3 linked regions of the Mytilus edulis genome follow. The protein of the gene in region 3 interacts with the protein of the main gene of each other region in a biochemical or structural test. Links are inferred from orthologs where the notes say so. Each region holds a gene or a part of one and is shown on either strand. Other genes may lie near its edges.

Evidence for each region.
Region 1: the proteins of uncharacterized monothiol glutaredoxin ycf64-like (region 3) and DNA-binding transcriptional regulator BolA-like form a complex in vitro, tested with the Homo sapiens proteins (2 studies listed by BioGRID). The link is inferred for Mytilus edulis from reciprocal best matches to the Homo sapiens genes GLRX5 and BOLA1.
Region 2: the proteins of uncharacterized monothiol glutaredoxin ycf64-like (region 3) and bolA-like protein 3 form a complex in vitro, tested with the Homo sapiens proteins (4 studies listed by BioGRID and IntAct, with this or other methods). The link is inferred for Mytilus edulis from reciprocal best matches to the Homo sapiens genes GLRX5 and BOLA3.

The regions. Positions count from the first base shown.
Region 1 is NC_092352.1:33,326,781-33,337,540, reverse strand, and holds the start of DNA-binding transcriptional regulator BolA-like, read right to left. Parts: upstream 4,327-10,760; 5' UTR 4,234-4,326; coding exon 4,209-4,233; intron 1,809-4,208; coding exon 1,735-1,808; intron 117-1,734; coding exon 17-116; intron 1-16. Other genes in the region: histone-arginine methyltransferase METTL23-like, read left to right, coding at 4,354-4,437, 6,606-6,710, 7,613-7,850, 8,156-8,240, 8,959-9,127. UniProt on the Homo sapiens protein: Acts as a mitochondrial iron-sulfur (Fe-S) cluster assembly factor that facilitates (Fe-S) cluster insertion into a subset of mitochondrial proteins. Probably acts together with the monothiol glutaredoxin GLRX5. May protect cells against oxidative stress.
Region 2 is NC_092348.1:96,082,907-96,093,702, reverse strand, and holds the start of bolA-like protein 3, read right to left. Parts: upstream 4,211-10,796; 5' UTR 4,125-4,210; coding exon 4,098-4,124; intron 683-4,097; coding exon 544-682; intron 216-543; coding exon 127-215; intron 1-126. Other genes in the region: 2,4-dienoyl-CoA reductase [(3E)-enoyl-CoA-producing], mitochondrial-like, read left to right, coding at 4,252-4,329, 8,174-8,370, 9,301-9,358, 10,331-10,565. UniProt on the Homo sapiens protein: Acts as a mitochondrial iron-sulfur (Fe-S) cluster assembly factor that facilitates (Fe-S) cluster insertion into a subset of mitochondrial proteins. Probably acts together with NFU1.
Region 3 is NC_092346.1:25,939,045-25,949,210, forward strand, and holds uncharacterized monothiol glutaredoxin ycf64-like, read right to left. Parts: upstream 4,194-10,166; 5' UTR 4,137-4,193; coding exon 3,869-4,136; intron 2,473-3,868; coding exon 2,303-2,472; 3' UTR 1,260-2,302; downstream 1-1,259. Other genes in the region: uncharacterized protein, read left to right, coding at 4,258-4,354, 9,181-9,263, 10,115-10,166.

The sequences.
Region 1 (10,760 bases), on a different chromosome or scaffold from region 3:
TAGTTTGACCTATTACCTTTAGGTACATTGTGCATAAAACTTTCATTTATAACTTCTAGATGCTGTGGTTTAAGTCCTTCTGTTAATTTCTTGGTAATTGAACTTTCCACTGGTTTCTTCAAAAAAATAATATTATTCTAAAAGATAGGGATCACATGCTGTAAATAAGGATATTTATATTTTATTGGTTTTAAAGGAGTATGTTTGGTAAGGTCCTAAAATGGCCCCCATTTGTAGCGTAAATTTCAAATTAGAATTTATTGACTAATATCACAATGAATTATAGCTAATAAATGTTCCTGAGTTTTATAATGACGTCACAAGTTGTACTCATATTAATTTTCAAAAAAAAAATCAAAGAAAATGGGTAAATTTCCATTGATTATCGGACAGGAAACATAGAGCGCATACATCGCAACAAAGATCTTTTGAAATAATGTTTATGAAGACATTTTACATGTTTTAATTGAATATTTAGCTTGTCGACGGCTGCGCTCTATGTTTCCTTGTCCTAAATTTGGTTGAAATCCAGCCGATTTTGCCAAATTTCACAAAAATCTCTTATCTTGACCTATTTGTGATGTAAAAATCAACGTGTTAGAATTAAACTTTGACAAAAATAGTTCTATTTAACTTTCTCTCATGTCTTTAAGTCAACTTAAATATTTTTTGTCTTGTCACATTGAACTTTATAATCGGGGCCAAATATGGCCCTTACCGAACTTACTCCTTTGTGTTGTTTAAGTAACAGAACACTCCAATTGTACACACAAATACATTAATAATATAATTTGTGTTTCTTTTTCTTATCAGAAAAATTGAAATGATATATTTTAACTGTTGGTCATCTTATAATTTTCATCATGAGTCTCTGTGACCTATACGTTTTTTGCCATCAGGGATATTGCCATCTACATCTAATGGTTTGTTGGAGTATTTCCGTTTATTCATTTTCCTTGAGAGCTTTAACTGAGGTGGAAAGCTGTATCAATGGCAATAACATGAACTCCTTTTCTTTTAATATGACTTCACAATTATTAATCATTTTATGATTTTCAGTGCCGGCTTACATTGAGTTAATCAGTTAGAAACTAAACATTTAAACAGCCATGCATAAAAAGGGAATTTTGAATTGTTCCATTAAAACAAGTACTTAGATAAAATGTCATGAATAATTATAATAAAATGTTAACAATAAAAATTCCAAAAGGAACAACTAATTTCAAGAACAAAATAAAGCATGTAAAATTGTATATGGTTAACTGATTCTGAAACAGAAAAACCTTTAAAATGTTTAGAAAGAATGAAATATCTACAACATAAAACAAGAGAATACATTAACCATTAACAACAAAAACCTCAAAATAACACATTTACAAAGACATAAAAAACATTAAAATATCACACATAGTCCAAATACCCTGCTTGGTATAGGTAACAATTTGAAGAGGTTATTATAAACAAGAAGATGTGGGTGGTATCAGTGCACGGATTAGAAGTTCCTTCATAATATAGGTTCAAAGTGGAAGAAATTTTCTGTATTATTATTTCCAATGGAATAAATATAATAGTATTTGTTTCTTACAGAATAAGGGGTATAGAATATTTGTTTCAACAGGAACAGATATTATGACATTGTACACTAAAAAGTTTCCAGGAGAAATTCTGTTAGTCAGAACAAATATACCCTTTGTTTTACAACATGTCAACTGTTTTTTTATAACAAAAAGTTACCTGCACAGCAGAATCAGCCATTTGTGACATACGACAGAAATTCAACTTGTAATTCTGCGACAACCTCCTTATTCCTACAAAAAAGGAAAAATATAGTACACTGGTATAGGTATCACTGTAGTGATGTGGAATGTTAAATGTGAATATGGCAAACAAGAACCCACAAAACATCTGAATAAGTTAACAATATAATTGATTGATTTGCTTTGACATGAATGAATAGTATAGCATTTTTCCCTTTATACTTCAATTATTATCAAAATAAAATCAGGATGATTACTAACAAATCTAGCTTAATCTTGCTACATGCTAATGAGTCTGTTCAAAATCAGAAATTCTGTCAGTGTTTACATGGCTATTATTTCATCATGGTTTTTTTTCTAATTGAGAGTTAGGTGTTTTTGTCATATTTTTTTTCATCTCTAATCAAATTATTCACAACAAGACTAATAACCTTTTAGAACAGATTGTACTGTGTAGGTGCTCATATGTTAATTTGGGTGTGAACTGGAGTCATGTTACTAGGATGTTTATATCAGAGCTGAGATGATACTTAATTTAAAAAATTGTTGGATAGTTGTTAAATTGTTAGGCTGTATTGATGGGGTTTTTTTTCCAGATCTCCATGTATTCACATAGCGATCCATGTCATCACATGACAGAAGTTAAGTTGTCACAGAAAATATTATATTAGATGTCCTTAAAAACTACATTAGTTTTGGCTAAAATGAATTATTCACAAGTATGAACTTATGAGAAAATAGCTACATAGTATTTTAAAAATATTACTATTAGAACTTCCTTTCTGGTAGACTTTGAATACTTAGTGTCCAGTGGGAAATAAAGCATGCAAACAGGATGTTATAAGACAAGGCAAAACTTAACAATTCAAAACCTGCAATTATCATGATGAGCATTATCTGAGATGAACAATAAATATTATAACAAACTTATTTCAAGATTAAACTGGTTAGAAAAAAAGGATTCATATTTTAGTGAAAAGTGTTAAAGCATCAAATAATAATTTGACAAACTGGAGTTATGCATTGGAAGACATCCTTTATCTTTTATTACATGATAGAATTATATTGGTCACAAGTCGTAACAAAACAAAATAGGTAAATTTACTGAACATTCCTTATTCAATTTCGATTATCTTGAGTTATCTCCCCTTATTTTACCAAGTTAAATAAAAAATTATTCAGTATTAGTGAAAACAGATGTAATACAATAATTAAAGTCATTTAAAATGAGTGACTGGTGAACAGTAATGTTAATCAAATTCTTGAGCAAATGTATGCATACATCATAAACTTAGTCTTCTGTGCACAATTTCATCATTTTTACACATCCATATAGTATAATCGTTAAAAATAATTTCTCTTGGTCTGTTATGATGTGAAAAGATGGCAGCTAAATACTTTGTTGTGTTTTGAAGACGTAGTTTGCCTATTGTCACCTTTATAGTAAAGGTAAACAATTAACAAAGAAGCATGGATATTGAGCATATGTATAACATGAACAATAAGAAATAGTTTATTTCAATGACAGATTTATGCGTATTACAATCACTGGATCACTTTTACAAAAAAGGTCACACTGAGTTCACTGCATACATGATACAGAAAACATATCTGTGAATTGTTAACTGGAAGCAAGCAATTTAAAAAATAGTAAATTTATTCTAAATTTGGATGAACTATAGGATTTTCTTGAGAAAAAAGCAAATATACAGTACATAAGTTTTTTTTAATAAAAACTAGCCATTTAGTTATATTAAAAAAACATATGAATATTTTTTTTCAATTTGAAGTAACATAATTTTTCTTCTGACATCTATTATACAAAAGCTTACAATTGAATTGCATTCCTTTGACGACTTTATTTAGGTTTTTATTCAGATGTTTATCCTGTTTATATTTATGACACTGGTACAACTTTTAAGGGGATGCTCGGTCAAATTTATGCTTTTTGTTTTTCATTCAATTTTACTGGGAAATATTTTTTTGTTATTAAACTACTTTTTACATTCATCCATCTTCCATTACATTTCACAATGCTTATACAAAATATCTGACGCCACAATGGAAAAGAAATTGTTGTACAATAAAATTGAGAATGGAAACGGGGAATGTGTCAAAGAGACAACAACCCGACCAAATAAAAAACAACAGCATGTTGACGTCAATAGTTCAAGCAGTACAGATTCTCTGGTCAGCCGTGAATATCAATAAGGTGTATCATAGCAAGCTATTCATAATTAAGAACTAGAAGGAAAAGAAAGAAACTCTTCCTAAGTTGTCAGCAAATGTGCGATTTATATTTGATTTGTTTATTTTCTGTATTTTAATTTCACTTTTCAATTTTGATTGTTTGTTTTGACAAAATGTTAACTTTTGGGGGAATTTGAGGGGGTGATGGGAGGGAAGGGGTTAATTATATTGGTAGATCTTTTTCATAGTCTTATAGTTTACCTTTCAGCATTTTAAAAATTAACATTCCACATTTCCTTCACTGTCATGTCTCTTTTGACAATGACGACCTATAATTTGACCTGGTATGGGTTTAAAAGACACTATTTTATTGGCTCATACAAATGTCATTATCTAGAACGTCAGCATGTCTTCTTCCAAGAGGCAGAAAATTGAAAAATTCTTCAAATTCAGTAGTGATTCAGAAAATTGTACAGTTTGTATTCCTGAGGTATCATTTCTGTGTTCTGTATTATTTGATTTGCATACCATTTTCTATATAACAATTCTGCATAATTTAGCACCCCCCTTTTTCACTTATCTATTTTATTTTACTTTTAGCACCACAGTGACCAGTATTGATAGGCTTATGAATACAATTTTACATTGTTATGCCCCACCTACGATAGTAGAGGGGCATTATGTTTTCTGGTCTGTGCGTCCGTTCGTTCGTTCGTCCGTCCGTCCGTTCGTTCGTTCGTCCGTTCGTTCGTTCGTCCGTCTGTCCCGCTTCAGGTTAAAGTTTTTGGTCGAGGTAGTTTTTGATGAAGTTGAAGTCCAATCGACTTCAAACTTGGTACACATGTTCCCTATGATATGATCTTTCTAATTTTAATGCCAATTAGAGATTTTACCCCAATTTCACGGTCCACTGAACATAGAAAATGATAGTGCGAGTGGGGCATTCGTGTACTGAGGACACATTCTTGTTAATATATTATTAAAACAAGAAACATATAGAGTGGGGTGCTCATTTTCGCCATATCTTTCCATGTTTTCTTCAGTTTATGTTCAGGTCCTTAAATTATGTTTTTGAAGTATACTGATATTTCTATATATGAAGATAACTTCAAATGCAAAATATTCTTAGCTTCAAAACGTGTTTGTTTTGAGAAAAATCATTTGAAATGTTGGATTAAAGGGTGTTTGAAATTTCCTGATGTTTTGTCAACGGGAAACACATATTCGCCGTTGTTACACATCTATATTAAAACCAAATAACTGCAGCTTTAAACAATATGTATCAAATAAATTTCATTATAGACAAATAGCAGAAATTTGAAAGGTGTAAAAAAAACTGAAATTTAGAGCAATCAGTCAAAGAATTACTAAAGAGATACCTCTTTGAAATGTTTTTTTTTTCATTCAGGAAATTGGCTGAAAATCGTTGTCCGTTTTTCGGTTCTCTGTGGTAAGTGCCGAAATGTGGTCTCATTTTCAAAAATTATCATATTTGTTATAAAAATATAATTTACCGGCATATTTCTTCAATTTCAACCATCCTTTGAAGTTTTTACACCTCAAAATCATAAAACGGCCAAATTGTGTCCACGGCAAATATGAGCGCCCTACTCTACATAAATGATTTTTTTTTATTTGATATTTATGTTTGATAACTATTATGATATACATTTGAAGGAAACAAGATAAAGACATGTTTTAAATCAAAGTTGCTAGCTCAAAAAAATCTGCAAATATAATTTAAGCAAAAAAAACTGCAATACCATTTTCTTTGTAGTGACATGAGTGAAGAAATGTATAATTAGTTAAGCAAAAATTCTTTTATTGGAATTAGCACATGTAATGATTTAGCTTACATGGTTTAGCCTTACTTCAATGTACTTGGTATCAATTGGGATATTGGTTATAAATACTTGTCAAATTTTTCTTTCATCAGAGTTAATAAAAAAATGATTGATGTCCTGGTGTGTACTATGAAATTTGCAATAAGGATAACAAAAAAGTTGACATCCCTTGCTATTCTAACATTGGTATTCATGTTATTTTGGGTTCTTGAATTCTTGGTTTAAATCCCCAGGTCTTGTGTGTTTTGGGAGTCAACATGATCGATATGATTCTCTTGAAAATAATTTTTCCTGACATAATTGAAAGTGCAGCAAAATGATGAAAATACAAGATTTCAATTGCAGATTGTCTTGGGTCATTCACAATTGTGAAGCTCGTAGCATCCCTCTGCTGTAAAATCATCTCTGCAGGGTCAGTTCAAGTCTCTTCAAAATTTGTGTTATAAAGTTCACCACACTTTGCTATTGTATCATCTGTTACAGTAATTATAATTCACAGATTATCAACCCTCCCATGTAAGCATGTTCTTGAATATACATAATTATAGAGTTCAATTGAAGGTCTCATACACATATTGTCATTCTGTAGTCCGACCAGCAAACCATGTACTAACTTTTTTATAAATTAGTTTTAGAAACTTGATTGTATTATCATGATTATAAAGCAAATATATTACAATTTGTGTGTACATTTTATTTTTGGCTACCCACCCAACTGGCAAACCCTCATAAATTTTGTATATATATGTGAGAGACAAAGTCACATTCACATTTTAATAGAAATATAGCACATACCCGGTAATTTTTATTTTAGGTTCTTGATGGTAACTATGGGATGTATGTGTGGCCATGTTCACCAGTATTAGCACAGTATATATGGTACCACAGAGCATCACTCAAAGGCAAAACTATACTTGAGGTCAATACATTAGATGTGTTCCTTTTGGGGATTGTTTTCTGAAGAAAAAAAATCTTTGTTATCACAATTGCAGTTACCCCAAATGATTTGAAATGAAACATAAAACAAACATGTATCAAATGCTACCTTGGGCTGATAACAGAAGATATGAACTACTTAAAAAGATATGTTGTTAAAAGTTTTTTAACAATACATGCATATGAGAAGATATGCTTAGAAGAAATATGGAGCAAAATCCTCTTTATCAAAACAATATTCTCAGGAAGTATATTATTATATATATTTATCTGTTCATGCTTTTGTACCATGTTTCAAGATGGAAAATATTCCTGAAGTGGAATTTTTTTGCACAAAAAAAAACCAACAAAAATATCCTTCAGGTGACATAATCAAATCATTTGAGCTAAGATTAAATTGACGTTTTCTGAAAGCATCTGAAGTTTCATCTGAATTTTAAAAAATGTGATTGATAATGCATTTTTTTAAGTGCCTCTCTACTTAAAATCATACAAAAGATGATTAATGGTTAGAAACCGTACACAAATTTAGCTCAGATATTTTGTTAAGAATAAAGATAATTTTTGAAAAACTTATTCTGAAATTTATACTTTTAGCTTTTATCATAGGTGGTAGAAATGAATGAAATGAGATATATTAAAAGGGAGATAACTTCATTATATGCAGTGTATCCCATTGTCTTTCTGTTTTTATCAGCAGACAGTTTTCAGGAAAATATTTAAACTTTTATTACCATGAAGACATGGATAACTGTTGGTGATTAAATAATTCTATCATTGAAAAAAACAAAACAATTAAATATTTAATTCAATTTGCTATTTAGTTAACGCTGTTAAGAATTTAATTAATATTAAGTTGCACATTTGTTTTTTTATGGATTACAGATTGGTGCTGGAACTTCTCTTCCTGGGATAGTAGCAGCCAAATGTGAAGCCACAGTCATTCTCAGTGATAGTTCTGAATATCCACAATGCCTTGCGAATTGTGCTGCATCATGTGAAGCAAATAATCTGTCCAATATACCAGTGGTTGGTATAAAATGGGGACAATTCACACCAGAATTACTCAATCTTCAACCTGTTGACATTATCTTAGGATCTGACTGTTTCTTTGATACTAAAGGTTAGAAATCTAGTTGGAAAATGGTATTTATAGTGTAATTTGGGGTTATATTGACACTAACATTAATTACAAAGTGATGTAAAAATATGATTGAATTTAAGATATATATGTAAAATATTTATTTCAAGAAAAATTAGAGAATTTCAAAAAAGTTTTTGTTATCAGTTAAAGTATGCATACACATTCCTGTTTAGTTTTTGTCTATCTTTCTGACAAATAAAATTGTGAGTAGCAAAACTTTGAAAACAGTGCTGATGTCTTGTGATATTAATAGTAATTGACATAATTTGTTTTATTGTTTCCAGACTTTGAAGACATCATAGTTACGGTAGCATTTATAATGAAGAAAAGACCAAGTACAGAGTTTTGGTGTACTTATCAAGAAAGAAGGTAACCAGTGTTTTACTCTGTGAAAAAGTCAAAACACTAGGAAAATAAGAAAATAAGTTGTTGGCTGCTCTACTAGATCTTCTTGGAAAAACAGTAAAAGCTGCTAACATGGATAAAAATTAACAACATCAAGGAAACAGATAAAAAAAAACATGTGGCTGCATAATGGAATTCACTTCACAATTCAATTTGATAATAAAATTGTATTTTATATTTGGAAAAGGATATTATATTTATCTACAATCCTTGCAAAAATTAAGTAAATTAAGGGTAAGAGGTGCTCAGAGAACATTATTAGCACATCTCAATCTATTTTGATGAAGGGAAGCCATGGTCAGTTGACAAAATATTCATATAAGTATTTTTGTCTGAAGACAGGAGCTTTAAACCCATTGGTTTATTTTGGTTGCTGTCTGTTGTAATTGTTTATTTTCCTAATGTTAAAAGTTTGAATAAGGTCATGGTTTTCTCTTTTAAATTGTTTAACTTTTTTGTGTCTACCTTTTACTTACTTAAACTATATGGTATAGGATTTGCTCATTGATGAAGGCTGTTCAACTCTTATACATTGGTCTTTTGTGGATAGTTGTCTCATTGGCAATCATACCACAAGACAACAACTTTTTTTACATTACACTATATTGAATCATTTAATGTAATTTAAAGTTGTATTTTGAGTAAATTTGTCAATGAAGTATATATATATTTATGATTACAGTTCTTCTAGAAGTATTGAGTACCTACTGATGAAATGGGGATTAGAGAGCACAGAGATAGATTTAGAAACATTTGAAGGAGACTCACCAACCCTGGCAGGATCAACATTACCTGGGAATCATACCATTCACATGTTCATTATGAAAAAGAAAAAATCAACTGACAGCTAGATTTATAAAACTTCATGTATAATGGACCTTTTCAGAAATGCTAGTTCCATTATCATAAATTATGTTGCACAGTCCTAGTGTCCTGATAAATTTTGTCAGGGCCTTCCAGTAGCATTTAGAATAAGATGTGTCCACAATGCAACACCATTTTGTATGGTCCTATAATACTGCATACTGCTTACACATTACATATTTGGAAGAGGGAATTTTTATATGTGGTTATACAAAATGAATAACCAAAAGATGTCGGAAATTAGATTACCAGTAATTGATATTAAGTTCAAAATATGTGACGAGTACACTTCTCGTACTTTGAAAAAAGGAGCCACTGATAATGTGATGTTCAGAGCACAGAGTAAGTTGACAATATCAACATGATGAAATGATGACTCAAAGAAGTTTGAATTCCCGTTGACAGGTAGAAAAATTTACTGATATTTTTAAGATCTGTTTTAAACAAAGGAGAAGGTTCACGAAGGGTTAAAATTGGCGCTAAATTTTTTATATTTTATAAATCGGGCCAAAAAATTACAAATTTCAAATTGAAATACTAGTGATAATACTATTACCACTAAGACAAAAATATATTTTCCAGCACTTTCCTTTACAATTTATGAAGCTATGACCCCTTAAATAAACATTGTTTGTATTTAAAGGTCAATTTTGGTACTTTTTTCCAATAATTTTAATTGTTTTTGGCCTAATTAAACTTGGCAACCATCCACGATCCAAAAAAGCTTTTATATTGATGAATAATATATCAAAATGGAATCTTTTGGTTACAACACATTTTTGATCATAGGTGGTGGCCAATGTGTTTCCATTTAGCTTTTAGGTCTGAAAATAGCACAAAATCATATTTTAACAAAATGTCCAAAATCAGCTTATTTTGTGGAATATTATGTACTTTTATTAAAAGAACTGATGTATTTAAAATTAACACTTTTGAAATGGACCCATTTACGAACCAAATTGTGACCTTTTTGATGTTATATGATAAAGTTGATATTTTAGGCCATTTTGTGTCAATAGTGAACCTTGTCCTTTGTAACCCTAGAAGTTGTACCGAAAACATATGTTGTTTTGAAATGGTTTTCATTGATGGCAAAACCTATATACTGTTATAAGATTTCGATTAACTTAAGCTTCATTCATTTAAATTCAATATTGAAGTGCTCCACTTCCTGATGTCAAATCATTATCAATTTACATTTCAAAACTATTTGTATTCATCAAAGAATAAAACAATTATGTCTGTTTATGCCTATGATTATGCTTCAGAAAACTCTCGCTTTCTGTGTGTAACATTATCACCTTATCATACCATGTAAAACTTACATATCTTTTACTCTGTTACCAATATGAACGAATAATAAAGAATAATCTCTTGTTGATATTCTGAAAATTTATAATCATAAAAGATGAAATCTAAGAACTTTTTAGTTCAGTTTCTACATAAAGAAACAGTTTTTTATATGTCTTCTATGTAAACTGTTTCTTTTGTCCTGAACCTGCATGGTCTTCGAAATTAGCACAGGACAGACAGGACATGTCTTGTAAAAATATATTCAGTTCTGTTGAAGAAAGAAATGAAGATTCATTAATTCCGTCCTGTAAATGCCAAGCCCCAATT
Region 2 (10,796 bases), on a different chromosome or scaffold from region 3:
GAATTTTCCTCAGAGTTCAGTATTTTTGTGATTTTACTATTGTTTCGCCTGATTAACCCCTCAAACTAATGTTTTGATAGATACAAACTAGAGCTATACAAGGTTACTATAACAGATATTCATTACCTCTTTCACCATTCTGTGCTGATTCAATGTTCTCTGTCCAGAGAATTCTGCTGATTCTACATAAACTTTATACATGGACCCACATCCTCCTAAAATATAGGGAAAAAAATACTATTTGATATCATACTAGTAATACAGAGTTTTTTATATTTAGTTTTAACTAATTTCTATAACATTTTCTTTTTAACCTTTGTTATGCCTTATCAAAATGATTGTTGCATAGCCTCTATACTATAGACACCTGACCAGCTGGTATGGGCTTTGCTCATTGTTGAAGGCAGTACGGTGACCTATAGTTGTTAATGTCTGTGTCATTTTGATCTCTTGTGGACAGTTGTCTCATTGGCAATCATACCACATCTTCTTTTTTATATTGTATAAAATCTGAAGGACAGAACAAAAGAAAAGAAATTTTACCTGATATATCTAAAGCTTGTATGTCTGAAGCCTTGGGAAATTTCTCCTTGAGTACATTAACAATTTTCTGTTCTCCTTCAGTTAAAGTGCTTGCCTCTGTACATCTATGTCTGAGTGTAGATCTACATAGAGTTGTCAACTATAATATGAATAAATGTAGATAGAGAGAGTTGTCAACTATAACATAAATAGATGTAGATAGAGAGAGTTGTCAACTAAAACATAAATACATAAAGACCTACATATATATAGTTGTCAACTATAACATAAATAAATGTAGATAGAGAGAGTTGTCAACTATAACATAAATAGATGTAGATAGAGAGAGTTGTCAACTATAACATAAATAGAGGTAGATAAAGAGAGTTGTCAACTATAACATAAATAGATGTAGATAGAGAGAGTTGTCAACTAAAACATAAATACATAAATACCTACATATACAATGTATATAGTTGTCAACTAAAACATAAATACATAAAGACCTACATATATATAGTTGTCAACTAAAACATAAATACATGTAGATCAGAGGTGGATTTAGGGAGAACAAAATTTGGTTGATTATATAGGGAATCACTGAAGCGTGACGGGAGCGGGGCCCCTCTTAGGCAGCCAGCGGGCCCCTACTTATAAAAATTTCTAGATCTGCCACTGTAGATATAGAGAATCAAATAAAGGTAAACAACATCTGATGTAATGTTTTGTTCCGTGACATTTATTAAACTAAACTTCTGCCTGCTTTAGACTTTTTTCTTTTCCAAGCTTTTTGATCTGCTTCCATCAATGTCTTTGTGAAAACAACTTTTAGAGAGTAGTTTTCCAATATTTATACTTAGAATGGGAACCTCAAGGAAACCATCTAACAAAACTGTAAAGTACTTATCATTGCTTATACATGTAGCAACCAAGGATAAAGTTAATGAATTTTAAAGCGGTTTTCAATGAAAGAAGATCAAATGGGTAAATTCACAGAGAAATCAGAGAATACATGTAGAAATATCAAAATATTCATTAACTATAATATATTGTAACAGAAGGTCCTTTAAAATATTAATACTTCTAATGCATTTGAATTAGCATTCTGGAATCATATTTCCACTACAACAATGTCAAATATTACTGTATTTGTTCTAAATGGAATAAACAGAATCAAATATGATTTATTTGTATAAATTGACAATGACATTGTTTGTTCCCTATTCACGAATGTGACCTACCAATAGGACTATTTTAGTATTTACCGGGATTGTAATTACATTAGCAACATGTGTAACGTTTGTGGGTCATCGTAAATTCCCCTTTTTCTATTTTTAGATACTATATATACTATAGTTGTCTGGTTACTTTTTCACGGGGATCGTTTTTCTCGTGCTTGAAACTCAATGTCCAGACTTGAATATTTAAACCTCATCAGGGCAGTATTTCTTTAGATTGGGGAAAACTTCCGTACTGGTAAGTTGTACTTTAAATTTCATTTTATTTTGTATTTTGATGTTTGACCAATCTAATTAAAAACCGATCTCTCATCGCTCCTGTTTCTGATATGTCACGTGGGAGATCTAACGAAACCCACTTTGAGGTCACATGTGAGTGACCTCGTAGGTGTGTCTTTTTCGACCAATGAAATTGAGTCTTCCACGATCTTGGAAGTTTAACGTAAGGCAAAGGGATGTAACTCATTTTATTTACGACGAAATCGTCAGTCAAAATAATTCATAAACTTTTTTGATTGGCTTATTAATAGGTCGTCAACTCATTTGCATATCTTTATAAATTCATGACTTTTAGTTCACTCACATGTGACCTCAAAGCCGGTTTCGTTAGATCTCCCACGCGACATATCAGAAACAGGAGCGATGAGAGATCGGTTTTTAATTAGATTGATGTTTGACTTAAACATGTTAAATATTTATTTCTTCTCATTTGATATATTTCTTTTCCGTCTTGTATTCAAACAGTTCTAAAAATATCAAATTACGTTTCTGTTCCAGAATAAATAAAGGGAATTGTACACTAGCTAGATACTTTATGATTTCGGGTTTATAAAGAGATGGAGTTCACTTTGATAGCGATATTTAGACAGATGGTTAATCCGAGGGGTATTTTGGAGTAACAGTCGTCAATCTACGGAATTGTTCGTGCCTTACTCTGAAATAGAACTTTGTATTATCGCATGTTTTAGTTTTGGATCTTCAACTGGTCAATGATATTGAAAAACGTTTTCAGACATTGCTCTGGTTGGATTGAAAATTAAATGGGTAGAGAAATGTGATGTTTTTTTACCGGATCGATTTTTGTTCCCTAGTCATAGAATAATGAGGTTCATGATCTAGTCTAAAAAAGTCAGTGGGAACCAGTGGTATAATTATTTTGTCTCGGAAGGTTGACGTCACAACTTGATTGATTGGATAATATTTTAGTTAAGGATGACTAGTGTACAGCTCTCAATATTTTAAGTAAACGGACACCTCAAAATTCTAGTATCATATTATTTTATTCAATTAGATAGCACTAAGGCCAAACGCTTCTTTGAATTGGTTAACTGGTAATGGGTATTTTTCACCGCATCATTTGTTTAAAAGGGGAAGTTCGAAAGTGAATTGAAATTCTGAATTGATAATTTCACATGGAGATACCGCGATATTTATGTACTTATATTGTCTTTGTCTATTAAATATGAAACTGTTTTATGAATTTTGGTCATTTGTTATATGAGCAAATGCTTTGCTTGGCAAATCATCATCACTGGTCATTTTTAGGTTTCTTATACCTGTCATTTATGAATTTACTGTTTCGTTGTATTGTCAGTATGCTGTCAGAAGTCCTGGAGCGAAAGCACAGGCCGAACCCTCTCTACCAGTAACGTAACCGGCTGAGCTAGCGGGGTATAATGTCATGAGACAGATTACAAATGAAAAATATGTTTACACACAGAAAACCCATTTACGTTGCACATGACAGGTGCCACATGTGGAGAAGGCTCTGCTTTTACAAATGTTTTAAATATACCCTTGTGGAACACCCGAGATCACCCTCAGTTTTTGGTGGGGTTCGTGTTCAGTTTTTTTTCTATTTCGTATTTTGTGTTCTTTTATTTGTCAGTTTGTCTTTAGGTCCATGTAAGGGGTCCTAAGTATCTGTTGACAATTGGAGTGAAAATATTAATAAAATATGGAAAACAGAATATTTTTAAAATCGGATTATCATGATTATACTGTAGAATAAAATATTATTTTTCTTTATAAATTTAACAATCAGGTGGCAAATAAACGAGGTACCAATTTGACTAGGTGCGAAAAGTCCACTTAGGTCCGGGTGGCGATTAAACCAAATCCCGATTTAACTAGGTGCCGAAAAATCCTCTAAGTGTCGATTGGTCCAGGTTCCGATTTAACATGTTTAAACAGGGGTCGAAGTGACTAGAATTCGTTATGAAACGTTCGAAACCACATTGTGTCCTCTTCGTGAGCACTTTATCTGGGTTTATCCAAGGTTTAATTTTTTAGAGAACGTTTCTGATAGGTTTCTCTCACTATTTTCAGGGCTTTTACCTGTGTAAGACGAAATATTCGAAACATTTCACGTTCACCTCTAAACAAATCTTCCGAATTGATTAACGGACTGGTACCTACTAACCAATCCACTTCCCTTTACTCTAAATGCACTTTCTGGTTTCAGGGCTAATTCGGAAATCCTTGGTAGAAAATGGCAGCGCCCAGTCGAAGTGCAAGATTTTGTTTAAATTTTAAACTTGACTCGGTATTATGGAACAAAGTTTGCAAGGTGAAAAAGTTTATTTTAACTCTTTGACACATATTTTATATTTTAGATTCTTTTTACCGTTAAAATGAATAATTAAAGCATTCACAGGGCTTTCATTGTCCCAGATTTTGACCCTTTTCGTATGCTAAATTTTAAAAAAATCTTAGTATCTTATATACATTGACATTGTACTATACAAATCCTTTGTTTAAACAATTTGACAAAAAAAAAACACACATCCTATCTAGAGCCTTGTATGTTTACCAGGTTAGGTGGGTGGCTGAGAACCATCCACTTTTTTTTTTATAGACACATATTTATCTATCCCAGGGGTTAAAAAATCCACTAGCCCAACGCCCGGGACTAGATCATTTATGCCTCGGGCAATTAAAATGTGTAACCCGATATGCCCGACGGACTAGTAACAAAAAAATCTTGACGTTTTCAAAAGTGGAAAATCCCTTCATTACTATTTTATGTTAGCCAATCCGATTCAATTAATAAGTCATTAGGGATTCCAAGAATTTGAACTGGTTTGTACAGGTCCTGTTGTACATATTTTAAAAACAGAACAAATAACTCTCGGTGGCCCGGTATCATGTGTTGATTGCAATTCTCGTACTTTAAATATCGATTTCTCATACCATGGCCTGGGGTATTGTACATTGCTTATGCCGAGATTTTCAATTAACGGTATTTGGGGATATGATGTATTGATCGGTACTGACCTATCTTGTCGCAAAGCTCTTGAGCACGAAACCATGCAACAAATTATTTCTTAATATTTTAGTACGGGAACCCCAGGAACTTCGTCAGTTTCAAAACGAAAAACGGTAGATGAAGGGAGTAACGAGGCTGAAAATTCATCCCCAAAAAATGCTAAATACGATAGGGAAAAGCTGCGGGAAAAAAAAAGAGTGTCCAGGACAGCAGGGCTGCCAAGTCGCACACACCCTATGAACTTCATCAGTTTCAAAACAAAAAATGGTAGATGGAGGGGATAACGAGACTGAAAAATCATCCCCCAAAAATGCAAAATACGACCGGGAAAAGTGGGAAAAAAATTATATTGTCCAAGACAGCAAACCTGCCAAGTCTTTAGGTCGAGACTCACACATTTTCATGCTTATTTGGCGGCATTTTCCTTTGTTTTTTCTCTTTGATCTTTACAATTGGCCAAAAAATCACGCATTTACTTCCTGAGAATTTGGCAGAACTGGGATACAATGATTCCCCTCGAAGGTTGGCTGTTGCTGATGAAAAAAACAGACGATGCTCTGTGAATATTACCGTTAGTTGCCCAAAGCATGCCAATAAAAAGTCTGCTTTGAATGTGGGAACAACTAAGTTAGGTTAAGCACCAACAATAAATAGCAATTCAACAAAAAATATTAAATACAGTGTATAATGTCTCTTTCAAAACAAAGGACACCCACTTTGTTTTATGCTGCAAACTCTTGATTTTTAAGGCATACTAGGGCTAGCAGGTCAGTTTTGATGGACTAGCAGTTCTTCCAACAGGGCTAGAAAAAACCTGCTGCCATAAGTCCTGGGCTAGTTAGCTGTAACAAAATTTTTTAACCCCTGTATCCTCAAATTTATCCTCAATCTTAAGTTATAAGACTTATTTAAAGACATGTTGGCACGAATTGTCCCAATGTGCAGGTTTTCTCTTTGGTGCGTTTTTCTCTTGTGTATTTTCTTCTCTGTGCTTTAAACTAGTATGTGTTGGTTAAGATTGGGATTGAGGAACAGCAGTATCAAATCAATAATTGAAACACCAATCTAGAGACGTTTTATTGCTATTTTGCCTTAGTCATTGTTAGTCCAAGTAGTAAGGCATCAAAGCAAAAATTTAAATTAGCTTCCTAAACATGCTAAAAGTCAGAATTATTTAGACTAATTTGCTAGTCCAAATAATTGTGACGTCTTGAAATGCTACTGGCTAAGCATTCACTATTATTCGTTTGATACCAATTTTTTCGTGGATTTCGTAGGAACAGGTGAACTATGAAATTAAATTTTCTATAGCCTTTTATTTAGACTTCGGCAAAACCATGAAATTAAATATTCACAAACATGTAAGATTTCCTTAATCCACAAAAATTTGTACCCACAAAAATAAATGAATCCGCAGTGACAGTATTATATATTTTTTTCTTTTACACCTAATAGAGCAATGTCACAGGACAGTGATATTGTTGACTTTTTTCAAAACTACTTCTACCCTTTTTTATTGGGAAAATATGCGTCATTTTTATCAAATTGGGAAATTTATCATAAACCATGAATTTGACTGGAACTTCAATTTGAGGACCCTCTTTCAAGAGGTAAACCCTCATTTGAAATAAAAACTCTTATTGTCAGTGATCAGACATGAATAGACACTCAAATCTGTACATATAGTCATTCTAGGCAAGAAAAATGTTTAAATGAGTGTTTTTCAGTTTGAATTCATGCACAATGGCTACTGAGACTGCACTGTTTGGGAAAAATGTTGTCTTTTTGGGAATAATTTTAAGCCATTTTTTTTTCAAATTGGGATTTTTCACCAGGGGAAAAAGCCTTTATTCTCCAGTAATTTAAGGCAAACAATATCACTGCAGGAAAGCGTAAAGCAAAAAATTTAAATAGCCTGTTATTAGAGGTCATAATTATTTGGAATAATTTTGCCTATGAACCTTTTGATGTATAAGTTGGCAACAACTTGTGAGCTCTTTGTTTCTAGAGACAATATCTCAAGAGAGAAGCAATATGAAAAACATGAAAAACTACCACCAAAAAAAGATAAAAAAAAAATACTTAAAATAGCTTTTTCATACTTGAGCACATTACATGCAGACATATGCTTAACATCTTGAAAAGCATTATGTATTGACCTCTTTAAACCATGGCTTCAGATCTGGATATTCCTGGAATCCAGGTCAGTTTGCCCTACTCCAATCAACTTTTTTTTTTAATTTTCTCTTATTGTTGTCTAGTTGCATAATGTTTATAAATATTATTTGAACAGAATGTTTGTTGAAAATTCCTGTGAAATCCAACTTGCCATCACAATCCATGACATGCTCCAGTCATACGACAAGGCAAACTAGGTAGACATTGCTATTCTGGATCTTTCGAAGGCATTTAACACTGTACCTGTAAAAAGACATTGATAAATTTTATGGAGTTTTTTTACTTTTTTTTTCTTTTTTTTAACTTTAAGTTTTGCTTTTTAGTATTTTTAGTACATGTAATGCAAAAACCTCGTATCTAAGGTTTTGATAATTTTACATCAGGCAGTAAAACCTGAAATCTTTTTATAGATTATTTAGAATTAAATATGTATGTTCCACTGTACAATGCTGTATGCAAAAATATCTGATCTTCTAACCAATCAATTACCAAAACGAGCAAAAATTTCTGCACCTATATTGTATTTTCAAAGCTTTTCATTATTTTTAAGCTAATATATTAGCTTTGAGAACCTAAAATTGATAAAACTGTACCTGTTATAATGTCAGCTGCCGTGGAAAGTGTTTTTCTTTGGAGATACGATATTTTCGCACAACAAAATGTCTCACCAATCCGACAACACTTTTTCGTCACATGTCAGAATTTGGATTAATGATTGGTTAGAAGATCAGATATTTTCGCATACAGTGGAACATACATATTTAATCCTAAATAATCGATAAAAAGATTTCCGCAGAAATTGAGATATGAGGTTTTTGCATAACAGCGACGATTTGCTCCATCCACAGAAGAAAAACCACAATTGATACAAATGTATATTCAGTACAATTAGCTATAGTCTGAATTAGAATTACAATTAGAAATGGAATTTTTTTCATTCTCAGTTTAATTTTGTTTACTTCTTTAGATAAAGAAATTCTCCACAACACCTGTCAGCCATGTTAAAGAGCATTCCAAAATGTTCCCTGCCCAGATGGGAAAGATGTTACCCAATGGAACCTTTGATGGGAAGATAGCCTTTATAACTGGTGGAGGAACAGGACTGGGGAAAGGAATGGCTACCATGTTGTCTAAACTAGGCGCTCAAGTGGTTATATCAAGCAGGTCGCTTTCATGTTTATGTATATGTATTTAAAAGTTTATATCTACTTTGGATACATTGATTGTGGTTCAGGTATCAGAAGATTTCAGCAGAATTTTATTTAAAAGGGGCATTGTGGGCCTTATATATTAATGAGATGCTATTTTAATTTACATGGGTTTTAAATCAAATGTTAAATTTGTTGAACCTCAATTTGCAAGTGTAACAGGGATATGCATGGGTTAATAGAAAAGGGGAGATAATTCAAATTGAATGTTAAATTTTACATTTTGTACTTGAACAATGAAATTTTGTGAAATGCCCACATATCTCCCTCTGCTGTTTTAATTGCTTTAAAACCTTTTTATTATGCCCCACCTACGATAGAATGGCATCAATTTTACAGTCATTGCATGCGTCCAACATAAGACTCAAATTTTGTTTTAAAGTAGATTAAAATTGTGGTTTAATGTACATGAAGTAGTTTGTGTTCTCATCAACTTGAATCTTAAAAAAATATACATTATGTATATGCAAATTAGGGTTTTGTCCTAGAATTCACAGTGTACTCAACTTGGAAATGTAATAGAATAAAATTTGGTTTATGTTAGTTTGTGGTAACATCAACTTGAAACTAAGTACACAATTTCACTGTCACAAGTCATTATTAAGTAAACTGTCTAAATATATGCAAAATTAGGGTTTTGACTAAGATTAAAGGTTTACTGTCTGAACAATAAAATGTGAAAGTGTGAGCATGGCATTGTTGTTTTGCCTGATAAAGAAACATCTACAATAAGATATGTCACATGTATAATAGTCATATTTGTGAAAGCATTAAACATGTTAAATAACATTTTATCGCATTTCTATTTCTCTATTTCTATTTCTCTATTTCTATTTCTCTATTTCTATTTCTCTATTTCTATTTCTTTATTTCTATTTCTCTTCAGGAAAATGGATGTATTAGAGAAAACAGCATCTGAAATTACCTCAGAAACAGGAAACAAGGTACAAATATTGTGTGATGATAAGTGATTACATATGACATTCTCTTTGTACATTAATTTTATTAGGGTGGGCTGTCTATAATATATTAGGACTCTTACTGTTTCAAAGGGCACTCTCTTTCATTATATCCAAAACATTTTTTTATTCATGTAGAGGAGGGGGCATTAAGTTTTACCTGTGTCGTCTGTGCATACGTCCCAAACAGTTCTCTAACTTCAGTTAGCCACAACCAAATGTTATGAATCTTATACTAAATGCTTATAACCACAAAAAACAAAGATCATGTTTGAATTTGGGTGGTGTCTCTTTGTATTGTTTTAGAGTTATGTCCCTTTACAAAGGGAAAAATGTTGTACTTTTTGTTTCTCTTCTCTAAAGTTAGCCTCAACCAAATTTTATGAAACTTATGGTACACAATGTCTATTACTCAGATCAAGTTCAAATTGTGGTGCCGTCACTTTTTCCATTCTTGAGTTATGTCCCTTTATAAGGTTATATGCAAGTGGGGGCATCATCTGTGTCAATTGCCAGGACACATTCCCCATTTATTTTATATACCTTGGAGATTGATATTTTTCCATACTTTTGAGAGACATTAAAATTAGGTACTAAACCTTTTACACCTATTGATTTAAGGACTTTTGGACCTTACATCTGCTGAAAATTTTAAAAGTTTATTGTCCAGGTCGTACCAAAGCCTCTGAAATAAGAGACACCATGGCCATGAAATAACTTGTATTTTACATTTATTGTTGGTATTGAGGCTCTTTAGGCATAAGACTGTCTGAAGAAATCATTTATACATGTACCTATGGCTGTAAATGTTATAGAGAACCTTTAGCATTAAAATCAAGTTTTGATGATTTGAAGTATGTTTTTGAAATTTGAAATTGCATATATTAGAGTATAATTCCAAAATAAGTTTGCCATAAAATGTTTGTTTAGTTAATTTTATGCGTGTTATTTCCCCAGGTTTTACCCATCGCTGCTGATGTGAGAGATCCGTTATCTATTAAATCTGCCGTAGATGAATGTGTATCAGAGTTAGGATTACCACATGTCATTATCAACAATGCAGCAGGAAACTTTATCTCACCATCAGAGAAGTTATCAGCCAATGCCTGGAAAACAGTCGTTGATATAGTACTGAACGGATCAGCTTTGGTCTCATTAGAGATCGGTAAAAGGCTTATAGAGGCTGGTCAAGGTAATTATATGAAGCCTGGAAAACAGTCGTCAATATAGTCCTGAATGGATCAGCTTTGGTCTCATTAGAGATTGGTAAAAGGCTTATAGAGGCTGGTCAAGGTAATTATATGAAGCCTGGAAAACAGTCGTTGATATAGTCCTGAATGGATCAGCTTTGGTCTCATTAGAGATTGGTAAAAGGCTTATAGAGGCTGGTCAAGATAATTATAAATGGTAATCACAAACTGTT
Region 3 (10,166 bases):
TCTAAGATACATTTCTTTTATTAGTTGTTTTTGGCTTCAAAATAGATGTCAGTAACTATGAGTATTCCCAGTTCTGTACTTGGTGTCTCTTTGCTGTTGCGATGTACAAATGTCACGTCCACTCTGTGTTTTGTTTTTGTATCCATCTAGTGATTTGAGTCTTTTTCAACATTAATTATAGCTTGTCTTATGCTGTACTGTAACCCCAATGTCCCAGTTTCCAGGAGGGTTGATGCCTTCAAACTAGCTTAATCTGACAACAATGTATAAGTGCCTGTCCCAAGTCAAGAGTCTGTAATTGATTGGTTATTGGGTTTTTTTATTGCTGTTTTTTCATATTTGTTTTATGTTTCTTGTTTTGCATTGTTTGTCCTTATGCTGTACCATTACACCACTGTCCCATGTTAGGGGTTTGGCGTCAAAAAACTAGTTTAACCCTGCCTTATGCCTGTCCTGAATCAAGAGCTTGTAATTCAGTGTTTGTTGTTTGTTGCTGTGTTACATATTTGTTTTTCGTATGTTAATTTGTTCAGAAATGAGGCTGTCAGTTTTCTCGTTTGTATTGTTTTACATTTGTTATTTCTGCCCTTTATAGCTGACTATGCAGAATGTGTATACTCATTGTTGAAAACCGTAACTTAGTCTCTTTTTGAGAGTTGTCTCATTGGCAATCAGACCACATCTTCTTTTTATAAAATTGAGAATGGAAATGGGGAATGTGCCAAAGAGACAACAACCCGACCATAGAAAAAAACAACAACAGAAGGTCACCAACAGGTCTTCAATGTAGCGAGAAATTCCCGCACCCGGAGGCGTCCTTCAACTGGCCCCTAAACAAATATATACTAGTTCAGTGATAATGAACGCCATACTAATTTCCAAATTGTACACAAGAAACTAAAATTAAAATAATACAAGACTAACAAAGGCCAGGGGCTCCTGACTTGGGACAGGCGCAAAAATGCGGCGGGGTTAAACATGTTTGTGAGATCTCAACCCTCCCCCTATACCTCTAGCCAATGTAGAAAGTAAACGCATAACAATTTGCACATTAAAATTCAGTTTAAGAGAAGTCCGAGTCTGATGTCAGAAGATGTAACCAAAGAAAATAAACAAAATGACAATAATACATAAATAACAACAGACTACTAGCAGTTAACTGACATGCCAACTCCAGACTTCAATTAAACTGACTGAAAGATTATGATTTCATCATATGAACATCAGGCACAATCCTTCCCGTTATATTTACAATCCTATTAGGCTTTAATTCCACTTCATTGATAATAATTCAAAAAATATCTATAGAGATTGTTACACTAAATGCCATGCAAAAGATGATGAATAGTATTAATTTTTAAATTGCTAAAAATTGTCCAAATTTAAGTTTTTGAATCATTTTATCTTAAATTGTGCATAATTTGAATTATTCAAAGTTTTCTTTGATTTAATCTCTAAAATACTTAAGGGAAATATTCTTTAAGCTCAAATTAAAAGAGATAAGATTAATATCTCAAAAAAGATCAATGATTTTTAGATTTTAAGCTCAAATAAAGGGAGATAAGATTAATATCTCCAAAAAAAATAATTATTTTAAATTATCTCCCATGGAAACTTCTGAGAAGGTATAGTTCTCCTACTCTTGAATATTCAGTATTGACTGCTGTTTTTAGAAGTAAATATCACACAGTAACTGCATAAACATTACTTTACATTATGATCTTATGAAGTAAATTTGTTTGTAGATTTCCATTATAGAAAAGAAAACAAATGAAGTATACAGTGTATTAAAATAAGAATATCGATACTAGAAAAAAAACCAAGACATTTTGAATGATTTCACATTAGAAAAAGATTAAACACTTTTACAAGATATATGTCTCCTTGTTTATTAAGCAAAAAGGAAAGATTTAAAGGACACATGCTTTATAACTAATATGGCAATCAACAATAAAAAACTGAGTGTGAAAAACAATTCACATTGCATTCTTAATAATATTACCACAGACATGACAGAGACAGGAAAATACTTCTGTCAGATTTTTTTTTATAACAGTAATGTCTTTCAATGTGACATCCAAATCTTTAAAATTATTCTTGTTTACTGCAATATTTCAAATTTTCCATTCTACATTTTTTTTTCTTTTTTTTTTTAAATGTTTAACATTCATGATACTAACAAAACATTGCATTGTAGTTTTATGATACATTCACAATAGTTAAACTATGAAAAAAACAAGGTGATGAGTACAAAGCTGTCTAAATATCATTTTTTGTTCTCTCAATGTCAGCCATTAGGATTTCAAGAACTGTCTTTATGATCTAACAAAGCCGATCGGATTCCAATTTTCTGTAATTCATCCACAAGTTCCCCATTTTTGTGCATCTCCACCAACACATCAGAACCTCCTATGAATTCACCATTTAAATAAACCTGGGGTATGGTTGGCCAGTTACTGTATTCTTTTATTCCTGGAATAAAAAAAAGATTAAAAGTTTAAAACCATACATATCATTTTGCATATAGTTATGTTAGTTTGATGTCCTGGCAACCAATCACAGACTTTCTGAGACAACTTAACTAGTCTTTTTTTAACAACTAACTCATATGTTCCTGCATATCTTTTTTATGACTAGAAAAGATCTTTGATATTATTGTTGGGTAAGGTCAAAAGAGCTACATGTATAATCTGACAAATAAAGATGAGTGGGTCTGTCCTAACATAAGCATGATAAAAATTAAAACCAAAGAAAATCAAAGTGATGATCATGGTAATTATTTAAAGTTTGCCAAAAGATCAAAGACATTGCCACAAAACCCATACACATTGTAAAACTGTATACTTGAGTAACATGACGGACTATGATAATTATAGGTTTCTCTGTATGTTAAGATACCAGACTTCTTTAACTTTCACATCTAAAAGAACGGATTTTTGCTGCTTTCATGTCTTTTGTGGTAGAGCAGTATATATAAGGTACAAATGTATTTATATTATACATGTTTATATACATGTACTTTGGATATTATTTCGAAAGCAGTTCAGCATTCTTATTCATTATACATGTAATACTGCATCTGAAGTATTATACATGTATATATGTCATACATGTATGTATTAGAGCAATCTTTTTTTTCTGTATATTATATTTAAAGATGTAGGAAGATGTGGTATGAGTGCCAATGAAACAACTCTCAATCAAAAATAACAATTTATAAAAGTTACCCATTATAGGTCAAGGTATGGCCGTTAACACAGAGCATTACAAGAATAAATTCCTAGGAACCCTCAAATCATATTTCTCTATTTTCTTATAAAATGTATAGAATGAAGTTCTGTTTAGAATCATTGCTTTTGTGAGATTTTTTTTTAATGAAACTTCAAGATAAAGAGGTATTTCAATCTTTCTGTCACTCTGACTTTGTGTTAATAAAAATAGTTGTAAAAATGCGAACCAACATGACCAAGCTAAAGTGTTGTTTTATTTGACTCTATCCTTCTGTCCTGGTATCAGTTAACATTAGTACGAGATGAAGTAGTGTGAGATTTCGATTGTTGTCGTAGTAAAGCGTAGTAAAACACTACTGGTCCTTGAATAACTTACTTTATTTTTTTATCAATTTTAATTGTTGCATAAGAATGTAATACAAAAATTCTAAATTATTGTTAAAATCTTCTTCTTCTTCTTCTTCTTTTGTTACAGAAAACCATAAACGTACTGATGTTTACTTTCCGGCGTATGCCTGGTAAATGTTTTTTTAATAAATTTTAATTTATGTGAATAATTTTTGTCAAAACATAAATTAACAAAATATTTCTTGTTTAAAGTTGTTTTTGGTCATATATTTTCGTATTTTCAAATATACCTTGTCTCAAACTTTCGTCTTGAAGAACATTATGTGCTTTAAATTCAACACCATGCATATTTAGACACTGCACTGCCAATCTGCTAAAGCCACACATGGGCTGATCAGGGGTGCCCTTCATGAATAAAACAACTTTTTTGTCTTTGACAAGACCGTCAATGTGTTCTTTGCTTCCAGCATTTTGTGAATAATATGCAAGAAGACGACAATATGTTGACCTGTTCTCAGTATTCAACAAGGACACTGTAGATCGTAGTAGTCTATTCATCTTCAAGCTTATGCAAGGAAAACTAATTTTAGCAAGTTCTTTTTATTCTTTCGGCACCCTACAAAGATTTCAAAGATAAATCCCGAGAGTCCATGAAAGCGGTTCCGGTGTACACGAAAACATGACAGAAAAGTTAGAAATAATTCAACAACTTCACATAGCTGTAGAAAATGACAGAACAGATATTTTACGAGCTTTTATATCAACAATAGAGCAAAGTATGCATGTTATGATAATCGTCAGAGGGTGGATTCAAAAGTTCTAACATAGCACCAAAATTGTTCTAAAAATTATAACAAACTTTTTTTATAGGTCCAATTGTAATTTGTGTTTCCTAACTTGGAAAGCTACATTTTTTGCTCTGAGTTAATGAGCAGTGTTCCAGCTAGGCCGTTTTCAGAGGGCGCGGCGCCCGCCCTTTTTGGAGTGGCGCCCTGTGCCCTTTTTACAGTTTCCAGGGCGCCCTGCCTTTTTTTGAAGATCGATTGCATATTAATTTGCGTATTGATATGATACGCTAATTACTAAATTTTACCTGGGGAAAAGATTATGACTTTGTTTACCACCCCCAGCTAATCTATGGTTACAACTGGTGTCATAATCTGTTGTTATAGGTAATCCGTTTATCGGATGGGTCATTAATGATCATCAACATTAATTCGTTCAAATAGAATCGGTCAGTCGGCAATTATCTTTGAAGAAATGTGCATACAACAACTTGGGCACAATTTGTGATGTTTACCGTAGTTTCATGGAAGAAACGTAATGACAGAAAGTTGGAAAACCATACACCTTATCACTATTTGTCCGCCATTGCTGGATATCACACAGGTTCCCGTAAAATGTTGACGTCATAAAACAAAATATCTGACGCCACAATGGAAAAGTGATTGTTGTTGACGTCAAAAGTTCAAGCGGCCGGGTCAGCCGGGATTAGCGATAAGGTGTATTATAAACTGGTTGAAGACATTGTTTTACTTGTTTTCTGTAAAATAAACAGAAAATTCAGACGTATTTGTCATTGACTGCCTTCATTTTTGATACGAAAATAACAAAATCGGCCACCATATTGTGATCATATTTACATCATATTTACGTACTGTTTATAATCCTCCAAAGAAGGAGCACACCCGAATATAGAAAGATAACTCAATCTGATTTTTTTCCTAGCATTGAGTAACCCATTTACATATTCTAAAATGTGTCTCCAAACATGTACTTCTTGCTTAAGAATATATATGTTTAGGTATTTATTTTGAGTTATGGGAAAAGTTAAAGAGGGTCTTAGTAGCAGTGTTGGTAGGGTGCCTTGGTCATCTTTTTTCTGTATTCTTTATTTTTGATACTATTTTTCACTGTTGCTTTATATCCTAAAATTGTGAATTTACTGAGCACAGCTGTTTTGTGCAGTATTGCCATCAAGCACAGCAGGGGAAGAAAGGTGAAACTGGTAAAATGTGGTAGACCATAGAAACAGTATGAAACTGATCTCCTTTCAAAACATACTGCATATAAAGTTCAACTGTGCCAAGCAATGATAAAAAAACTTGTGTGACAAGCTGCTTGACAAGTTTTTCAGCCTTAAAAGTAGAAAGATAGAGTTCTATATGGGCTAAAGATGTTGTTCTTGTATAACCTGTGATTCAACGAATAAACACAAATGTTTGATTAACATCTTTTATTAAAATATGCCCTTTTCATATTATCATATCGCGCGTTAAATGCCCTTTTTCAGGATTGGCACCCTGCCCTTTTGAAAACCTAGCTGGAACACTGATGAGGATTCAAAGCCGATATGTCAGTCACAATGCTTAAATGTATGTAATTAGGTCACAGCAGGAACATATATATATTGACCGGACTTGACACTACCAAATAATTTGCAGCCGATTTTATTGTCAGGTCATAGTTAATAAAGATACAATACTGAATCAGACATGTGTTAAAACATACTCGCTATTATCCTAATAATTTCTGATAATATCAATAAAATGTATTTCAAACTAGTTTGATAGTGATTGCAGTGTATCAAACTTGTATTCTGTCACTTCAAATTTGTTAAAATCACATTCATTTAATCACAGAATGGTAAAGAGAGCATACAGGGTCAAAATAAAATTGCTTGGATTGCATTCCCAAATTTACAAACCATTATTAAACACTTCACATCAAATAAATCAAACTAATTTTGGTCATTTTATATGACAAAGTATATCTACTTTATGATAAAACTTGTACAATTTATATACGATTAGAATTATGTGGTTAATTTATTGAGCAGTTCCGATAGTTATTCAGTCGGACGCTTCCAAAATCCATCAATTTCGCCAAGTCTGGGAGTCAGAAATTTTATCAATTTTATACTGAAAAGCGTATCAGATTAATTTCTTGTTTAAAGATTTAATGTTCCCAGGTTACAGCTACATTTGTACCTTCCAATTGTCCAAAAAGTAATTGATGATAAAGGCAGCGTTTTCACCACAAAATTTAACCTGTGCATCCGAGAAAGTATTATGGCATGGACATGATGGATGAACCCAAATACGTAAAATTTATATGCAATTTATACTTCAGAAAAATTGAAACCTTCCTCAAGTTTTATGTGTATTTTTTTCTAGTCTGCATAGTCTTTTAGATGGTTAAAAAGATATAAACACTTGCATTTCAATTGATTCTGTCTACCATTTTTAATCGCCTATTGTTTGCAGACATCTTCATGTACATGTAATATGTCTATTGTCCTGTATCGTCTATATATTTAATGTTTATCAATACAATTCACTCTATTTATTATTACAATATGTAGAGGGTAGTTCTGAAACATCTTTCCCAACCGGTCCAACAATTTACAGAAAAGAGCGACGATTTACAGAAAAGAACCGAAAAGAGCATACATATAAATTATTATTTAATATATATACACCAATTTTTCCCCCTCGTAATAAAGGAATGTATAGTTCAAATTTATTTTGAACGTTTATAGGGATATGTAGACTTACAAAAAAAGTTAGATTTCCCTGAATCAGATTAAGGCATTTAAATATTTAATAAAAAAATCAAAGCGTCATTTTCTTGCTTTAGAAAATAGAATTGTAAAAAACATTTGAATAAAATTTCAATTCCTGCTACATGTAAACCATGGCAGACTTTAAGATGTTCCTGGTTCCTTTCAATTTCTTAATTCAATTTACGGTATAAAACGTTGGGCTACATGTGAATAAAAGGAGATAAATCAATAAAAAAAAATACATCATTATCTACATATTATAAATGTTGTGCACATCACAGTCATTTCATTTCATATTTCAGGAAATATAGATAAATGAATAGCGCACCCGCTTTCGGTATAATTGATAACTGTTTACTCTTTTATAGGTATAGATTAAAGGGTGTGAAAAAGTTAATGGCCTGTTGATTTCTAATAATTTTATCTTATAAACCATTTAAAACAGCTATGTACATTAGCGAAACGATGTCAGATGGTGATAAAATAAATGTTGGCCTGTGCTAGTATATGTATCTATTGAGAAACTTGTGCATGGAGATAGCGGGACTTTTCCTTGAAGAATTCAAATCCTTGACAGGTTTAATGTGTCAAAGTAACAATTAATGTGTTTTCATTTAACATGTAAGATCAGGGTAGGAATGGGGGTACCTTAATGACGTATAATGGTAAAAATTCTAACCAAAGACGTTAACGATAATTTTTAGTGAATGACGATAACATGTACACTTTCTTTTAGACGATAAAAAAATCAGCTGAATTTGACAAATCACGCTATTTTTACCCAAAAATAACGGTAACGATAATTATTTAAGACATCGGACGAATCACGGTAAAAAATTATACATTTGACGCTTACGGTAGCCGAAAATGACCGTTTGACGCCTGACGGTAAAGGGCATTACCTCCCTCATGTAATACACAAACACAAAAAAAAGAACGAAATATTCGTATTTATTCAATAACTACTGTAAAGTTTTCCGTCACGATATTTTGTTTTATTTTGTTTTTTGTCTGATTGTACGAATGTCCGTGTTATTATATATTCACTGATGAATTGAATATATATACACATTCCAAAAAAATATATATAAGGAACTGTTGTAATGTTCGAAATGAATTAGCGACAGAGATTGGACAAAATAATGACACTTAGCTTATAAATACAATTAACGTAGAACGATTGTTTGACAGTAATGAATAAATATCTTATATGTTCTTGTCTGTTCTATGTTTTCTATTCCATAAGTTAGGCATCCGACCCTACCTATAATTTTTCACATGTACAGTAAGTTATTATATGCAGTCCTGTCGCAGTATAAGGTTTAAAAACCTAATGATAAACTTTTGTCAAAAATATCCTTTCATTTTTAATAGACTTAAATAATTTGCAATTTGCTAATTTTCTTCGATTACAAAAAACGTTGATCTCCTTTTCGGTTCTTTTCGGTCCTTTTCGGTTCTTTTTGGTCCTTTTTGGTCCTTTTTGGTTCTTTTCTGTAAATCGTCGCTCTTTTCTGTAAGTTGTCGAACCCTTCCCAACTTTTTATTTTTTTTTGCAGGAACAATTAAAATACACATAAAAATCTGTTCAGTTTTTTTATATTTTGAAAAATGTACTTAAATTTTATTCATCGTGGTCCAGCCATGCCTTAAAATGTTTCACAGGTTTTTCTATACTCAGAGTATAATTCAGGGTGTAAAATATACAGCCATATTTGAAGAAATGTTATGATGAACCTTAACCATTTATTTCTGTCCTCGGGTCATCTGGTATAACTCATTCATGAAAAACAACTCAAGATTTGTCAATATCATTGGATTTTTCATTTTTTGTCTTGCCTTCATGTTGAATAATATTTGATAAATTTCTGTGAATTTTCAATTTATGTAGCAAAAATTAGGTATTTGATTTTTTTTTTAAATTTGAGGATGTAATTATCATTTTCATAAATTTTCAATTAAGAACATGAATGGAAAGTTTAAAACTTATTATATATTTATGATTTATATATAATTATTATTTACAATTTATTTTAGATGATGACCATCATCAGGTGATATCAAATGTACTGAACAATTGTTACCATGACGATGGCACATTACTTCATGTTGCTTCAAAGGTAATTTATTTAGTAATGCTGTCAAGGTATATTTGTTTCTTCTAACAGAAGTTCCCCTGGAACCTTTGATATAAACAATACAATAATATCTGTCCACTTAGAACTTCTGTTTCATGACAACACTATGTAAATCTTACTTCTCCGATATTATTACATTGTATTATCATGTAACCTTTAAGGGTTTGACTTAGAAAAAAGTTTTGGATTGATGAATTATTCGTGTAATGTTGTCAAAGTAATCAAGTAATCAAGCTTAGGGCTGTTTCTAGGGAATTATATTGTGAAATAACAGATGATTTCTGAAATGATTATTTGCCATTAAATATGAAATAAGAAAATCATCTATGATTGTCAATGAAAAAAATACCTTACAACATCGTCCAATTGAAGTGAATACGAGAAACTATAGGTCACAGTACAGTCTTTAACTATCAGAAACAAAACTTTGCCATATAGTCATAAAACCAACAGCCTGATCTATGACAAAATAATTAATCAAAACAAGATATGCCCTTTTCAACAAGCAATAAGTACAAGCTCTAGGACTAGAAACTTTTACATGATATTTCAAGATGGAAGAAAAAATAAGGATAAACAAAATTCTCTAATCTAAATGGCTGATATTTTTCTAGTCACAAATTTGCATTATATATATGATTTATAAAAAAAAGATAAGATAAAGGAATTTTGATTTAAAATCTGACTCTTCCAAAACAAATCATGAGAAAAGTATGCTTGTGTCTAGAGAATAAGAGTTGAAAAAGATTTTGTCAGACTACAAGTTCATTTTTAAAACAAATGTTTAATGAGATCATGTCAAGTTACAAAATACATTTAAATTTGAATTACAGCTAGGAAAGATAGATGTAGTTAGGACCTTATTGTCATCTGGAAGTGATCCTG